Macaca fascicularis: one gene and its partners. The protein of the gene in region 1 interacts with the protein of each later gene in a pairwise test. Links are inferred from orthologs where the notes say so. Each region holds a gene or a part of one and is shown in the gene's direction. Other genes may lie near its edges. The genes, in order: TRIM59, NRM and ZDHHC22.

Evidence for each region.
Region 2: the proteins of TRIM59 (region 1) and NRM interact in binary tests that used the Homo sapiens proteins (3 or more experiments, as listed by UniProt). The two-hybrid records come from large-scale screens. The link is inferred for Macaca fascicularis from reciprocal best matches to the Homo sapiens genes TRIM59 and NRM.
Region 3: the proteins of TRIM59 (region 1) and ZDHHC22 interact in binary tests that used the Homo sapiens proteins (3 or more experiments, as listed by UniProt). The link is inferred for Macaca fascicularis from reciprocal best matches to the Homo sapiens genes TRIM59 and ZDHHC22.

Annotation. Positions count from the first base shown.
Region 1 is NC_088376.1:63,408,995-63,414,563, reverse strand, and holds the start of TRIM59 (tripartite motif-containing protein 59), read left to right. Parts: upstream 1-2,022; 5' UTR 2,023-2,174; exon of another isoform or gene 2,175-2,206; intron 2,207-3,088; exon of another isoform or gene 3,089-3,089; 5' UTR 3,090-3,162; intron 3,163-5,569. UniProt on the Homo sapiens protein: E3 ubiquitin ligase involved in different processes such as development and immune response. Serves as a negative regulator for innate immune signaling pathways by suppressing RLR-induced activation of IRF3/7 and NF-kappa-B via interaction with adapter ECSIT.
Region 2 is NC_088378.1:141,962,978-141,968,776, forward strand, and holds NRM (nurim), read left to right. Parts: upstream 1-2,533; 5' UTR 2,534-2,549; coding exon 2,550-2,682; intron 2,683-3,274; coding exon 3,275-3,471; coding exon of another isoform or gene 3,472-3,477; exon of another isoform or gene 3,478-3,493; intron 3,494-4,053; coding exon 4,054-4,230; intron 4,231-4,549; coding exon 4,550-4,831; 3' UTR 4,832-5,447; downstream 5,448-5,799.
Region 3 is NC_088381.1:145,083,797-145,089,346, reverse strand, and holds the start of ZDHHC22 (palmitoyltransferase ZDHHC22), read left to right. Parts: upstream 1-1,699; 5' UTR 1,700-2,949; exon of another isoform or gene 2,950-2,994; intron 2,995-3,714; 5' UTR 3,715-3,728; coding exon 3,729-4,254; intron 4,255-5,550. UniProt on the Homo sapiens protein: Palmitoyltransferase that could catalyze the addition of palmitate onto various protein substrates and be involved in a variety of cellular processes. Catalyzes the palmitoylation of KCNMA1, regulating localization of KCNMA1 to the plasma membrane.

The DNA of each region.
Region 1 (5,569 bases):
GGCCCAGACTGCTCTCAAATTCCCGGGCTCAAGCAATTCTTCCACTTTGGCCTCCCAAAGCGTTGGAATTACACACATGGGCCACCACGCCTGTCCCACATGTTGTTGTGACAGGAAATTATAAAGATGTCTATCAGGATGACTCCAATGTTTAAACAGAAAATGTACATCAAGTCAAAACGAATATTTACCACCATGAAACAGTAGCTATCACTACAATTCACACTTCATAAGCAACCTTTTTAGGAGCTGAATTGGTGAAGCTATCTGAGATTGACTAAGGCCTCATTAATATTGCCTTACTTTCTGCTTTGTATCTTTAATATTTTCTGTAATTTACTGAATAAAAGCCTAGCACCTGAATGTACTGCAATATAAATATACAGTATATAGAGCCCATAGATTTTTTTTTTTCCTGGAATGCAGAGGTGCCATCTTGGCTCACTGCAACCTCTGCCTCCCAGGTTCAAGCGATTCTCCTGCCCCAGCCTCCAGACTAGCTGGGATTACAGGTGCCTGCCACCACGCCTGGCTAATTTTTTGTATTTTTAGTAGAGACGGGGTTTCACTATGTTGGCCAGTCTGGTCTTGAACTCCTGACCTCAGGTGATCCACCTGTCTTGGCCTCCCGAAAGTGCTGGGATTACGGGCGTGAGCCACTGCACCCGGTCTAGAGCCCGTATCTTTATTTAGCACATTAGTAAACAAAATGACTTTAGTTATCAGAAGTTAAGTAATTCAAACTTAAAGCTGTTGGAACTTTATTCTGAGCCTTGAGAGGAATGTGGCTACAGCCTGAGCCAAGCAGCAGGCATCTGCACCGTCTGCCTTTTGTTTCTGTAAATAATTAAAATCGGAGGAGCAAACCATACCAGAGATACAACCCCCTGAGATCACTACCCGTCCTCACGGAGTAACGAAGTACTCTTTCTTGGAATGTAGCAATCTGTAACCTACCAAATAGCTGTAAGTATGTACTGGTCTCTTACGGAAAATGAAATCCTGCTAAAATTTGTCTCTGGCCACCTAGGTGAAACCTTAACTTCTTCACTTTGGAATGCTGACCCCATTTGGAGCTGGTGTCTCCTGGGTGGCTACCCTCAAGCCTTACGCTGGAATAAACTCTTATCCTTAATCATATTTCCTGAACCTATTTAAGGTCGACAGGAGAGGGAAGCGGAGATGTCTTGAGATAAAGCTGAATAAAGTTTCTCAAGAAAAAAGGGAAAGGGACCTCTGAGCTGTAAGTTGTTTTCTAACTCTAGGGAGTTAGAGGTGAAGTAGGAACTTGAAGTTGGAAGTGCTGAGTTGGACAGCCCTCATCTCTAGGCAATACTTTAGTAAAGTGGAAAAACGGGAGAAGACGACGAAGGCTAGGGAGAGATGCACCCAACCCAGTCCCGGGTTTCCCACTCGCTCTCGGAGTTGGGTACAAAGAGTGTTCCAAAACCCCTTCTCCTGTGCTCAGCCCAGTGCTCCGGTGGGTCAGGTCTCCGGAACGCGTAAACAAAAGCAAACAGCTGAGCGGCGGAGGGCGCTGGCGACAGGTGTGGGTGTGCCCTGAGGATGCGTGGCGACTTCCCGGAGCAGCGGGTCTGTGAGGCAACGATGGAAGACACTGCATTCCACAGCATAGCAGCACGCCCTGCCCTGAATGGCTCCAAGTAAAAGACAGTTCCCCAGAAGCCGTCGGCCGCCGGCGATTCGCCTCCTCCCGCGCCAGACCCCGCCTCTCCCCCAGACTACCGGTGCCATCCAGATGCCCCAGGCGGGACCCCAGCTCACGAAGCCCACTGGCCGAAGCTCCCCACAGGCTAGAGAGCCGCTCCTTCGAGGCCAAACGTCCGAGAGGCGGCCTGCGCCTAGCACGCAGGCGTGGAAAGCTAGGCGCCAGCCTCGATCTGACCGCCGCCACCTGCCTCGGGCCGCGCCTTCCGCCGTTTACTTTCGAACGAGCCCAGCAATAGTTCCCATTGGCCGATGCCGCGCAGTTGAAAGCTGCCTGCAGACTGCGCCTGCGCCGCGAGGCTCCGGGCGGCCCCGCCCGGCCTGGGCACCTGAAGCCCTTCGGGGCGGAGGAGGGCGGGGACTCGGGGCGACTCTCAGCATCAGCCAGGAGCCGGTGGCTCTCTGTTTCGGCGCTGTGGAGTCGCCTACTCCGCCTCCTCCCCGCGGTGAGTCTAAGGACCTTTACGGATCCGAGAAGGTGGCTCTGAGTCCTTTTTCTTTTCCTGTAGCACAGGCTGGTGTTCCAGTGTGTTTGCTGGGGAGTCCTGGGGGCGTGACGATGGAGGGAGTGGCTTGGGACCTGCATTCATTCCTACTTGTCCCACACTGGAGTTTGGGGAACCATTCTCCCGTCTCTCCACTGTGGAGCTGCGTTCCTGTGAGGGAGGAGGCGCTCTGTGGTGGCCAGGGTGAGCTGGGCCAGGCCGAGTCGGTCAGCCCCGCGGGGCTTGGGGTCGGGCCCTTGCGGAGGCGGAGGCGCTTTAGGAGGGAGGCCTGGGAGAGTGGAGCTTTCAGAGGGGGAGGGGAAGAGTACTGCCATTTTGAGCCCCTTTGTGGGAGGTGCTCGTAGGACTTAGGTGGGATAGGTGCAGTTACCCATTTTACAGATGTGAAGCCTCACTTTTGAGAGGTATTTGATAATACTGACTCAGGTACCACAGCATTGAAATGGCAGAACAGAGAGATGAGCAAACTATACTAAATCAGTTACAATTTTGAGCTGGCAAAGTATTTTACTCCCATGGATGCTTTTGTCTTGCAGTTAATTTTAAGCACTCTAAATGACCTTGTGAATGTTTTTTCTGCCATCGCCGTTGGTGGGTCATATTGTCGAGAGCTCATAAGCTACTTGACGTTGTAAAGAGGTCCTTTGTGACCATCTGTTTGGTCAGAGTTCGGATTTTCAAGGAACAAGCGATACCTCTACTGCAGCTCCAGCAACTGTGTTGGTGTTTGTGACTTTTAGGAAAACACAGTGAAGCATAGTGAAGATAAACATCAAAGACAGTGAACTAACAACCATTTTAATGACATGAGACAATAAATTGAAAGCATTAAGGATAACATTATTTTAATTTTAGAATAAGAATAAAAGATTCTGGAGGAGTTGGAGAGAGTGTATTCAGTCCCCAAACCAGGAGATCAACAAAGTAGGTAAGTTCTGGGAGATTAAGTAAATATGAAAAACATTTTAACTGAGTTTTTACAGAGTGTATCATTTAAACTATAAAGTGAAATTTAGAAGTCTTTTGAAAAAACATTATGTTGATGGTGTATCAAATTCCAACCATCTTACCGAAGGAGCGGAGCATAAAGTGAAAAATAAACAGCTTCCTTTTCCGATCTGTACCTTAAAGGTAGTCACTCAACTCTTTCGTACATCCTTCTAGAAATTTTACAAGAATGTGTACATCTCAAAACACATGCAAAGCTGTTATTTTAGACATACAGATCTGCAGAACTACACAAAACTGCAAATTAAGTTACCTGGATACTTCTTCACTATGCATTCATATATTGGTCTTTTTAAATGAGTAAGTAGCTATTTAATCTGGCAAGGTGAAATTTTGATTTTAGGTAATGTTAGTTTTGACATTGCCTTTCACCAAACACGTTGATGAATATTTCCCACCAGATATATTTTTACTTTGAAAAGTATAACAAAAGTAATTAAAGCCTTAACTTCTCAAGTCAGTTCCTGGTTAAATTGAATTAATAGTCTTTTTTTGTTTTGTTTTTAGTTTTTTTATTTTTTAGTTTAGGAAAACAGGTTGATATCAAAATGAAATAAAATAGTACAGATGGACAAAGAGAGTTAAAATCAGCTGACCATAGGATTTTTTTTTTAATTTGAAAAAGTTAAGGTGATCTCTCATTATTTTTGTATATTTATATGTGGCAGAATTATTTTTAAAAATCTTCTCAAACTTTCCGCAACAGTGTTAAAAAAAAAAATCTTATATGTGTATATAAATGATGAAGTTGTAGTTATTTCTTAAGTAAGTCTTCGATTGCATGAAATGTATTTCTTCTTTATCAGTTAGGGCCACAAAGATGTGAGCCCCAATTTGGGTGGTGGCACCACTTGAATTTTTCTATACTTAAAGCTGACTCACTAGAAGTCATGGGGCAAGTCATCGAATTCTATAATGTAGTAAAAATATTTTCGTTTCAGAGGCTGTGAAATGTAATGAATGTTTTACAACTGTTCATGTTTAGAGTTGAAAGGCAGGAAAGCATTAGTGAATTAAAGCTTAAAAACTGGTTTACACAAGAGAATGGGTAATAATATTTTTGGTGCTATTTTATCATCTGTTATACTATCTATTACCTAATATGCCAGTTAGACATCAGGGAGGCTCCCTAGTGAATTGGTCCTCTGGAGAAAGACTTAATAAAAAGTGTGGAAATTCAGAAATGTATTTGTTTTGACACTTAAACACAAGACGTTAGTGAAATAATTTGTCAGTAGAGTGATTTAGCCTCAGATTTCTTTCTGAGAAGATTCATTTTTTCATATTTATATTTCTTGGTGACTTTTAAAAGAGAAGCAGGAAATCTTGAGGTATTGGTTTCTACATGAGCTTAGTACTCACTAGAGGAAAATACATTTTACATGGATTATTTTACTTTTTTGCTTTTTAAAAACATACAGTAGTATAAATTGATTCAAATTCATTTAGCAAAAGAAAGACTGGATAATAGGCAAGACACTTGAACATTTTTTTTAATTGTGTAAAATATACTAAACATAAAATTTACCATTTTAATATTTTTAAGTATACAGTTTGGTGGTATTAAATACATTCAGATTGTTTTGTAATTATCACCACCAACTATCTCCGTAACTTTTTCATCTTCCCAAACTGAAACTGTGTACCCATTAAACCAGCAGTCCTCAACATTTTTGGTACCAGGGACCAGTCTCGAGGAAGACAATTTTTCCATGGACAGGTGCGGGTGGGTGGTACATGGTTTTGGGATAAAACTGTTCTACCGCACATCATCAGGCATTAGATTCTCACAATGAGCTACAACCTAGTTCCCTCGCGTGCGCAGTTCACGGTAGGGTTCACACTCTTATGAGAATCTAATGCTGCCACTGATCTGGCAGGAGGCTTTGCTCAGGCGGGCTTGCCGGCCGCCATGGCGGGGGTGCAGGGTGGGTAGGGAGGGTTGGGGACCCTTGCATTAAATAAATGATAACTCTACGTCTTCCCTGCTCTCAAGCCCTGGCAACTACCATTCTACTTTCTGTCTTTGAGGACTGCTTATTGGTTTTAATATTATATATGCTTTTTTCACATATCATGTGAATGTAAATTTTTTTTCCATTGAACTAATTGAGTGAATTATATTAATAGATTTTTTGTTATTGAATTAACTTTATATTTCTGGGAAGAACCTTATTTAGTCATGGTGCAGTGTTTTTTAAAATGTACTCCTGTATTTGTTTTTGCTAACATTATATTTAGAATTTTACATAAGTGTCCATTTTTGAAATTAGTCCATTTTTAGTTTGTATTGTCTCAAGTTTTGGAATCATGTTATACTGTCTTCA
Region 2 (5,799 bases), on another chromosome or scaffold:
TCGGCCTCCCAAAGTGCTGGGATTACAGGCTTGAGCCACCGCGCCCGGCCAGAATTTCAATTTTTTAAAAATAATTGGGGAGGCCGAGACAGGCGGATCACGAGGTCAGGAGATCGAGACCATCCTGGCTAACCTGGTGAAACCCCGTCTCTACTAAAAAACACAAAAAACTAGCCGGGCGAGGCGGCGGGCGCCTATAGTCCCACCTACTCGCGAGGCTGAGGCAGGAGACTGGCTTAAACCCGGGAGGCGGAGCTTGCAGTGAGCTAAGATCCGGCCACTGCACTCCAGCCTGGGCGACAGAGTGAGACTCCGTCTCAAAAAAAAAAAAGAAAAGAAAAGAAAAAAAAAAAAAATAATTGATTACTTGTGTACACTTTTCTGCATGTAAGTAATACTTAAGTTTGGAAAACTTTGGTGTAGTAGAAACAGCATGAGATTTGCCAAGCATTGTGCTGGCTATTAAACATATCTAATCTCATAATATACATTAAGCACAGCCATTGTGGGGGTGGCAGACAGTATGACCCAGATAAATATTAGTCCCCTTGCACAACTCAAAGCTTTCATACTCTTAAATTGTCCATGTCCCTGAGGCCCTGATTTCTTTCTTTCCCTTTTTTTTTTATTTTTTTGATACAGAGTTTCACTGTTGTTGCCCAGGCTGGGTTGCAATGACGTGATCTCGGCTCACTGCAGCCTCCGCCTCTCAGGTTCTAGCGATTCTCCTGCCTCAGCCTCCTGAGTAGCTGGGATTACAGGCATGCACCACCACGCCGGGCTAATTTTGTATTTTTAGTAGAGACAGGGTTTCTCCATGTTGGTCAGGCTAGTCAACCTCAGGTGATCCACCCGCCTCGGCTTCCCACAGTGCTGGGATTACAGGCATGAGCCACCATGCCTGGCTCCTTTTTTTTCATTGTTATTAAGATGGAGTCTTGCTCTGTTGCCCAGGCTGGAGTGCAGTGGCGTGATCTCGGCTTACTGCAACCTCTGCCTCCCAGGTTCAAGCAATTCTCCTGCTTCAGCCTCCCATGTAGCTGGGACTACAGGCGTGTGCCACCACACCCAGTTAATTTTTGTATTTTTAGTAGAGACAGGGTTTCACCATGTTTGTCAGGCTGGTCTCGAACCCCTGACCTTGTAATCCACCCGCCTAGGCCTCCCATAGTGCTGGAATTACAGGCGTGAGCCACTGCATCCAGCCTCCTTTTTTTTTTTTTTTTTTTGTTTGAGACAGAGTTTTACTCTGTCACCCAGGCTGGAGTCCAGTGGCGAGATCTCAGCTTATCACAACTCCCACCTCCCGGGTTCAAGCGATTCCAAAGTGCTGGGATTACAGGTGTAAGCCACTGCGTCTGGCCTCTTACACTTCCAATGAACCCCACAGCTTGTAGCACATTGCTTTGTGTGGTAAGTGTCTCTATTTGTGGTCCTAGCAGGAAATGAATAGCACAGTCAAATTAGGATAATTTGGGGAAGAGTTTAATAAAATGATAATTACAAAGAAGTAGGCAGGGTGTAGGGAAATCAGAAAGCATAGTGCAGTGCCTTAGTACCCACAGCTCTATTGTGATCACCTCCAAGCTCAAAAAGATGAGGGTGGAGCAGTCGTGTAAAGAGGACTTTCTCAATAAAAACTGTGACTTTCATTGATACCGTCCATTTGGGACAACTTCCTGAAGCAGAAAGCAGGGTGGAGACTGAATTCAAGGGAAAACATAAGATGTCTGGTACAGCATACAACAGCATTCATTCAGAGGAGGGTGGGAGTACTGAGCCCAGGAGAGGGAGAAGGAATGTAAAGCCTGCGAGAGGCTGCTCAGCAGTTTTCTGGTCCCTTAGCCTACAGGATTAGCAGCTTCCTAACAGGCAATTATCTCTCTGGACCTGTTTATTCTATCTATAAGTTGATGGAATTAGTCTAATGATATCTAAGGTCCCTACTATGTGCACAGCTACTGCGACAAGGTCCTTAGCTGCATGATCTTTAATTCTGACAAAGGTTACTATCACAAACATTTTAACATTTTTACTCTCGTGGTTACAAATCAACAATCTCTGGCACTATTACAACAAACCTTTCAGTATTTACAGAGAAGTTATTTGCCCTTCTTAGCAACTAGCCAATCAACAACTCAACTTTATAGTAAGTTACAGAATTTATTCTGTACAGTGTATTCTGTACAATGTATTCCATACATTAATGTATTTTGTGGTAAAATAGTAACTTTTAATTTTGGATGGTTAAACTAGACGAGCTGAGATTTAACCCACGTAAGCGGCTGCAGAGCCGCTACCCTTAACAGCTCTCTCTCGGGATTCTAACATTCCCTTCCGTGACGGAGAGACCGCAGGCTGGGACACGCATCCCGGGACGGATCCACAGCTGGGTGGGGAAGGCTGCGCCCGGCGGGCCGGAAGCCGGGCGGTGGCGTGCAGGAGCCCCGCCTTCCTGGGCTGGATTCGGGCGGGGGCGGGGCAGGGGCGGGGCCTGAGGCAGCGGGAATCCCGACCCCGCCCCTTTCCCCACCCCTCCATTTATCGCCATGGCCCCTGCACTGCTCCTGGTCCCTGCTGCCCTCGCCTCTTTCATCCTGGCCTTTGGTACCGGAGTGGAGTTCGTGCGCTTTACCTCCCTTCGGCCACTTCTTGGAGGGATCCCGGAGTCTGGTGGTCCGGGTGAGCGGGAGGGATCGGGGATGAACTGGGAGTAGGAAGGTGGAGCCGTAGGAGAGGGATCGAGGGCGGGGCTTGGAAACAAATGACAGGGGAAGTCCCAGAGAGGGAACTCGAATCTTGAAAGCGGCCGAGAAGCTACAGGGGAGGGAGACCTGAGTTCTAAATTAGGAACTCAAGGATTACAGTTTTGGAGAGGTGGGAGAGTGAGGACTGAGGGAGCCGAAAAGGGCGATAACCAGAGTATTCTAAGTAAAATGTTTTGTAGAGAGGGCTGTTGAGAGTGTTAAAAAGAAGGAGCATTTGGAGAACCGAAATAAGAGGGGCAATCCAGCGGTGGCCTCTCCAGCCATGCTTTTTGCAACTGCCTAACATGCATTGTTCTATAAATCCTCTCCCCTAGGTTTGCAGGAGGCCTAGGGAAGAGGGCAGAAACTAGGAATGGAAAAGTGAGATGGGCACAGCCTAGAGAGGAAGCATTAAGGCTCTTGAAAGCAGTAGGGACATGGCCTGGGGCTCCAAAAGGAGATGAGGATGGGGGAAACATTTGCCACCTTTTCGATCTTTTGTCTCTTTCTCCCTCAACTTCCTGTAGATGCCCGCCAGGGATGGCTGGCTGCCCTGCAGGACCGCAGCATCCTTGCCCCCCTGGCATGGGATCTGGGACTCCTACTTCTATTTGTTGGGCAGCACAGCCTCATGGCAGCTGAAAGAGTGAAGGCATGGACATCCCGGTACTTTGGGGTCCTTCAGAGGTCACTGTATGTGGCCTGCACTGCCCTGGCCTTGCAGGTATGAGGCCCTGGCCTTGCAGGTATGAAGTCCCTAAGGGAGACCAAGTGTGGGAGGGGTGCCCTGGATTGGAGGGGCAAAATATGGGTTCAGGAGGAGAACTGAGGAACTAATCTCAGCTTCCATTCCTCCACAGCACATACCCTAGTTTTTATCAAGAAGGGTGTACTTGTCCTTCCCCAAGCACAATACGTGCATTCTCACCTTTGCAACTTTGTTCATGTCCTGCTTGAGATCCCTTCCTTCTCTTCAGTCCTACCCTTTCTTCAAAACCACTTCCCTAGGTCTGAAGAGGCCTTGTCTGTCTTCTCATTGGGTGGTTGGCATAGGCTACTACTTTGTGTAGCTATCAGGTCACCCCATCTGTTCTGTAAATTCTCAGGGTGGAGACAGGCCATCCTTACATCTTTGGGACCTCACCCAGCATGCACCCTCCACATGGTGAATATTTGGTGGTGATGCTTAGGTGAGAGGTGGGGGAGAGTTGCAGGCTAGCCTGTGGTGGGGGCAGCTCTGGATCCGGGTCTCCCAAGGTCGGGCAGGGTAGGGCACTGGGATACGAAGCCCCTTATCCTTCCACAGCTGGTGATGCGGTACTGGGAGCCCGTACCCCGAGGCCCCGTGTTGTGGGAAGCTCAGGCTGAGCCATGGGCCACCTGGGTGCCCCTCCTGTGCTTTGTGCTCCATGTCATCTCCTGGCTTCTCATCTTCAGCATCCTTCTCGTCTTTGACTATGCTGAGCTCATGGGCCTCAAACAGGTGAGGCTCTGAGATCCCTACCTACGACCTCTGACCCGTTTTAGAACTACTCTTTCCCTTTCAAGGGTTTCCCTCCTCCCATGCTCTTCTACTGTCTCCTTGATTCTCCCTCATGACCCTTCCCTCAGAAGGACAGCAACCATGGGCCTCCTGGGCCTGGGGAAGGTACATGGATCATAAGTCAGGATCAGGGATCCAAGTCTCAGAAGAGGGGTTCCTGGGCCTGAGCTCTAGAAGGCTGGTGCCTGGAAGAGGAGGAAAGAAGCGCCCAAGCTGAGAAAAGGGCTTGACTCAATTTCTAAACTCTTCTCCCTCTTAGGTATACTACCATGTGCTGGGGCTGGGCGAGCCTCTGGCCCTGAAGTCTCCCCGGGCTCTCAGACTTTTCTCTCACCTGCGCCACCCAGTGTGTGTGGAGCTGCTGACAGTGCTGTGGGTGGTGCCTACCCTGGGCATGGACCGTCTCCTCCTTGCTCTCCTCCTTACCCTCTACCTGGGCCTGGCTCATGGGCTTGATCAGCAAGACCTCCGCTACCTCCGGGCCCAACTACAAAGAAAACTCCACCTGCTCTCTCGGCCCCAGGATGGGGAGGCAGAGTGAGGAGCTCACTCTGGTTACAAGCGCTGTTCTTCCTCTCCCCCTGAATTCTAAATCCTTAACATCCAGGCCATGGCTGCTTCACGCCAGAGGCCCAAATTCATGGACTGAAGGAGCTACCCCTTCCACTACTTGAGAGTTTATTCTCTGGGTCCAGCTCCACACCCTAAATTCTGAGTTTCAGCCACTGAACTCCAAGGTCCACTTCTCACTAGCAAGGAAGAGCGGGGTATGGAACTCATCTGTCCCCTCACTGTTTAGGGCATGACACTTTCGCCCTCAACAGCCTCCTGAGAAGGAAAGGATCTGCCCTGACCATTCCCCTGGCACTGTTACTTGCCTCTGTGCCTCAGGCGTCCCCTTCTCCACCTCCGGCTTCCACTCCAAGAAGCTGGACCAGGGTCTGCAAGTTCAATGGTCATAGCTGTCCCTCTAGGCCCCACACCTTGCCTCACCACTCCTGGTCCTAGTCTCTGCACCTCCTTAGGCCCTGCCTCTGTGCTTAGACCCCAACCTAGTCAAGGGTATTCTCCTGCTCTTAACTCGATGACTTGGGGCTCCCTGCTCTCCTGAGGAAGATGCTCTGCAGGAAAATAAAAGTCAGCCTGATTTTTCTACATATGGCATGCAGTCTGTCAGTGTCTCCCAAGCTGCAGGGCTGAGTTTGGAAAAGAAAGCCAGAGGGAGCCTGGGAGCGCCGAACTGGAGTCTGGGCAGCCACCACGCCCTCTGGCAACCGCTGGGCTTCGGCCACCCCCCGCCGACCCGGCCCACTTTGCCAGAGCGGCCGGGTCCCCATTCCCATTCCTTCAAATTCCCTTTTTCCCGGCAGCCGACCCGGAGACCCAAGGGAGACAGGTTGAAGCTAGAAAGAGTCCGGCAGCAGCTCTGGTAGGGGGGCGAGCTTCCAAAACCTCTGGTTTCTGAGCGCCTCTCCTGCCGCCCACTCCACAAGGCCCCCCACAGCCTGG
Region 3 (5,550 bases), on another chromosome or scaffold:
AAATTCAGACACACACCTTCCCACCTCACACCCATATGCAAAATAAAATTAGAAATACCACCCGACTCACAAGGTATTTGGGGAATGGAGATCTTCAGTCAGTATAGCCAAATCCAGGCACCCCAGGCTCCCTCCCTGCCAAGCCCATGTGAGAGGCAGACAGTGCTTGTGAAAAGGGGCCCAGACAGCCACAATTATGAGACAAAGCTGCTCTGAAGGAAAAAGGGCCATGTGTGCCTCCCCGTGTCTGTCCTGTGGCCACTGGAACTCACAGGGCTACCAGCTGCTCACGGCCACCATGTGGCATACTGTTCTTTCACTTACATGTCAGATGCTTTTAGAACGCGAAAAGGTTTCCTGGCCTCTTTTTTATTTTGATGTATGCTGATAAATTACAGAGGAGCAGTGTCTGGTTATTCGAGAATAGAGGCTGAGCTGATTAGCATATGGCCCTCATTTCAAGGGATTGCTCTTGTTTTAATCAGCCAGTTGAGAAAGTAATAAATATTTATTTATTAAGTATGCCATCACCCAGAGGAGAGGAACAGGGCAGGTAGGTGAGCTACGACACCCAGGAAATTGAGGATGGTGATGGCACCAATATTCCTGCAGTGTTTGATGTTTTTAAGGCTCTGCTCCCCCCGCCCCCCACTATTTGATACACACTGGTGTGACTACCCTCTTGGTGCATCACGGTACCCACCTTAGAATAGCGGAGCCCTGGAAGGGGAAGGAAATAGAAATAGGAAGGTGGGGGTAGGGCCCGAAGAAGCAGCTCCAAGTTCAAGCTCTGTGTCTGGATAAACTCCCATTGTCTTTCCTTCTCCCAAATCAGAGCTGCCCATGGGTCCCATGGTGATGCTGGGTTGTGTGGAGGCCGAGGGCAGGAGCATTAACGCTAGAACAAAGTTCAAGTCCAGGCTCTGTCACTTAATGGCTGTATGACCTTAGACATGCGACTTAGCTTCTCTGAGCCTCAACCTCCTCATCCCCAGAATGGGGCTCAGCCAGCTTCGTAGATCAGGCTGAGAGGATTAAGGAAGCGTCTTATGCTAAAGGCTTAGTGCAGTGCCTGCTACCTAGCAGGGGTGCGATAAGTAGTGTCTCTAATTATGATCTAATCAAGCAGTGCTTGCCCTGGGCAGGCCCTGTTTAAGAGTTATACATAGATTTTCATTTAACCCTCACATCTCTGTTTTACAGATGAGGAAACTGGAATCTAAGATTACACTGGAATTTACAGACGAAGAAACTGGAATCTGAGATCTCACAGTAGTGAATGGTGAATATTCAAACCCAGGTAGACAGGCTCCAGAGTCCCAACTCCCAATCCTCTGTACACAGCCCTTTCGAGGAGATGACGCTGGTCTTCACGGGTGTTGCCCTGGCAAGCCGACCTCTCAAACCCCCAGGGTTCCTTCAGTCCGAGTGGAGAGCAGGGAAGGTCGTGGGACATAGCTGAGAGGGAAAGGCAGGATGATGGCTTGAGAATCCACATCAGGGCTGAATCCCAATCTCCCAGCTGGAACGGGCAGCTGAAACCAGGCAGAGCGCCCCAGCCCGCTCAAGGGGAATCGAGGGGGGAGGAGGGGGCAAGTCCACAATGCTGAGACTGGCGGCCAGAGCACCGCCCCCAGGAGCGGAGGGAGGGGTGGCGGGGCTGGGGGGTGCCCAGTTGCCGTCCCCGCCGCTTCCTTGCCCCTACTCGCTGGCGCCCAAGTGGGAAAACAGCAGCTGCCCGCTCCCTCCTCCCCACATCCCCGCTACCTGCCCAGTTCCCGAAGCGAAGCGCAGGCTGCGAGCCAGCCGGGCCGAGCCCACAACTTTGCAGCCTCGGGCAGGGCGAGAGCCGGCGTCCGGGGCTCCTCTTCTCGGCGACCAGAGCTCGGTGAGTTCATTTCCTCACCCCTCTGCGGCGGCGGCAGTGCGGCGGCGGAGGCGCGGGGGGCGGCTTCCCTTGCGTCCGGGAGGCAGTGGCCGAGAAGCCCGCGGCCGCCGGCGCTGCCGGTCTTTCTAAGGCTCTGGCTGTGCCGCCCTCTGCCGCGGACGAGGCGGGCGCCAGTGCTCAACGGACAGCTCCCTGAGCCCCGGGGCCCCACGGGCGGTCTCTGCTGCCCCTTCTCCCGCACAGGGCCCGGGCTGAGACTGCCCACCGAGCGCCCCTCACTCCCCTAGCCCCTGTCCTTCGCCGCCTTCCCAGCGCTGCGGCGCATCTGGCTGCTCCCGCGCCCCCCTGGCGACCGGCGCGGGGAAGGCACTTGCTTCGCCGGAGCCCCAGGCCAAGGGCTCTCCGGGGCGGGCAGCGCCGCCGCAGCCCCCGGCGGCGCATGACTGGGGGCGGTGCCCAGCCCCCCGCGACCACCCTCTGGCTTGCACTGCGCTGCGCCCCAGCGGCAGGGAGAGGCCCACGCTCTCCGCGGAGGCTGCGGGTTCCCGGGGGGCGCTGGGACCTGCAAAGGGGATTCCAAGGTGACCAGTCGCCCCGTCCTGACGGGACAGCCTGGACGGAGGCCCCGTGGCATCCGCCCATCCTAGGTGCAACCGCCTTCCCAGAACTTTTCTCGCGCCTCCGGCTGGCCAATTCCTTAGCCTCTGGAAAAGTTCTCTCGGGCGCACGGAATCCTATTTCTCGGTGGCTTCCGAAGCTGGCCAGGAATCCCGGCTGTGAGGCGTGGAGTGGGATGGGGACGCTGCAAGGGCTGCGCACGGCGGCGGGGTCGATCCCAGGAAAGGCCGGCCAAGCATCCACTCGTGCGCCCAGGGCGTGCTTGTCAGCATGGAAAGGATTTCGGCGCCATGAGGGTTGTTTGGGTTTCTCTCACCAGGAGGGCGGGAGGCGGGCGCGAAAAGGGGATTTTAATTTCGCCTCAAATGAAAACGCTCTTTGCAAAGAAACAGCCCGGGCAGCCAGCGTTGGAGAGATGTGCTGGCCAGGACCCGCTGACACAGGTATTCTGGCTGCGTCCCCACCCCACCCGGCGCCCGAGAGCGAGTGTGAGTGTATCGGTTGTTTTAATTGATTTTTTTAAGCTAGGTGGCAGAGGCTGCGTGTCTGTACACGCAGATACATACATACACAAATACAGATACTCAAGCGCACACAGATTACACGTACAGAGTCACAGACAAGGACACACACACACATCGTGGTCCCGCACGCACACATACCTCCAAAGAGCCTTGGGTAACCGGTGAGGTCCCTGAGTGCTGCCCAAGATGTGTGTGTGGGTGGGGGCGCAGGGAAGGAGAAAGGGAAGTGTGAAGCAGGATTTCCAGCAGCTCAAATGCCGCTGATACCTCTGCCCCCAATCCCAAATCCTTCCCTTTCTCCTCCTAGGGAGGTCTGAACCAGAAATCCCAAACCTGGGCTTGTTTCCACAGCCACAGAGGGGAGGAGTCCTATCCCCCAGCGCCCCCCACCCTCACAACTTGTATTGCTGTGCCTGACTCTACCGCGCCAAGGCGCCGAGCTCGCTCAAAACCCCAGGCAACACTCACCCCCAGGAAGGGCCTAGACCCGAGGCCGCTGCGGGCTCGGGGTCTCTGGCCTGCCTGGTCCGGGGTTAGGGAACTGGGGAGGGGAAATCGGCGGGACAGGGGTTTGGGGGCGTGGAGTCGCGTGCAGAGCCCCAGAGGCGCGGCACGGAGGAGCGCGCGAGGGCGCCCCCTGGACGCCGCAGTCAGTCAGTCCTCTTCTCACCCCGGGTCCCGCAGGAATGTAATCGAGGATGCTGGCCCTGCGGCTGCTCAACGTGGTGGCCCCCGCCTACTTCTTGTGCATCTCCCTGGTGACCTTCGTGCTGCAGCTCTTCCTCTTCCTGCCCAGCATGCGCGAGGACCCCGCGGCCGCCCGGCTCTTCTCGCCGGCCCTGCTCCACGGGGCGCTCTTCCTATTCCTCTCGGCCAACGCCCTGGGCAATTACGTCCTGGTCATCCAGAACTCCCCAGACGACCTGGGCGCCTGCCAGGGGGCCTCGACCAGGAAGGTTCCGTGCCCCTCACCTAGCACCCACTTCTGCCGAGTGTGCGCCAGAGTCACCCTGAGGCACGACCATCACTGTTTCTTCACCGGCAACTGCATCGGCAGCAGGAACATGCGTAACTTCGTCTTGTTCTGCCTCTACACCTCCCTGGCCTGCCTCTACTCCATGGTGGCCGGCGTGGCCTACATCTCCGCGGTCCTTTCCATCTCCTTCGCCCACCCCCTGGCCTTCCTCACGCTCCTGCCCACCTCCATCAGCCAGTTCTTCTCCGGTGAGTGGGCCTTGGCAGGCAGGTTGGGCTCTACCCAAAGATCTCCCACCCCAAAGGTTGCCGGGCCCCAAACTCCAGCCCCAAAAGTTGCCAGATTTAGCAAATAAAAATACAGACCCTTCCATTAAATTAAAATTTCAGATAAACAACTCATAATTTTTTAGTATAATTATGTCCCAGATACTGTATGAGATACACTGAGAAAATTTGCTATTGGCTATCTGAAATGCAAATTAAGCGGACATGCTGTATTTTATTGGCCACATCTCCCCATACCCTCATCATCCTCATCCATCATGCTGTCCATATGCTCAGAGTTGTGGCATCCAGGTAATATACCTGCTCTGTGCCAGGCAGGGCTGGGTGCTGGCCATTCCTCCATGTAGCCCCATGAGGTACAACCATGCTATGACCGTCCTCTGCCTGGACCCCAGTCCTGCTTACATGTCACCCAAGGACTCTGCTCTCCAGAGGTCTCACCAACCAATTGCAGTAATATTGAACTTGTTGCCAGCCCAGCCCAGCAGGAGACTAAGCCTCGTCCTCCTGCCTATTATGTTTGACCTCACCAGCCTGTTCTCCAGCCTGTTCTCCAGCCTGCCGATGGCTCAGAGCAGAGGGAACTTGGGTGGGAGAGGCAGGCATTTTTTTTTTTTTAGACAGAGTCTCACTCCATCACCCAAGCTGGAGTGTAGTGGCGCAATCTCTGCTTACTGCAACCTCTACCTCCCAGGTTCAAGTGATTCTCTTGCCTCAACCTCCCGAGTAGCTGGGATTACAGGTGCGTGCCACCGGCTAATTTTTGTTATTTTTAATAGAGACGGTGTTTTACCATGTTGACCAGGCGGGTCTTGAACTCTTGACCTCAAGTGACCCACCCACCTCGGCCTCCCAAAGTGCTGGGATTACAGGTGTGAGCCACTGCACCTGGCTGAGGACTACACTTTAACTAGTATGCACAAGGACCACTCCCTAATATCTGGCCCTAGAAGTACTCAGCTCCTGGTGGCAGTTCTTACCACTTTATTCGGCCTTGAGACTGGCTCCTACTGCGTTTCCTTCCACTTCCTCCCTATCCTGGCCTTTGACTCTGAATGACTTAGCTTCCACAATCGGTAGTGTCTGCGTGCTTGGGCCTGCATGTATAGCATTGTTATCTCCATTTCTCAGATGATGAAACCAAGACTCAGATGGGATTAAGTGGCTTGCCCAGTATCTTCCTACTACTGAGTGGCAGTCTCTGGTCTGCCTCTCGGGTCCTTAATCCACAGCTCTTCTGTAGTGGCTCAGGGAATA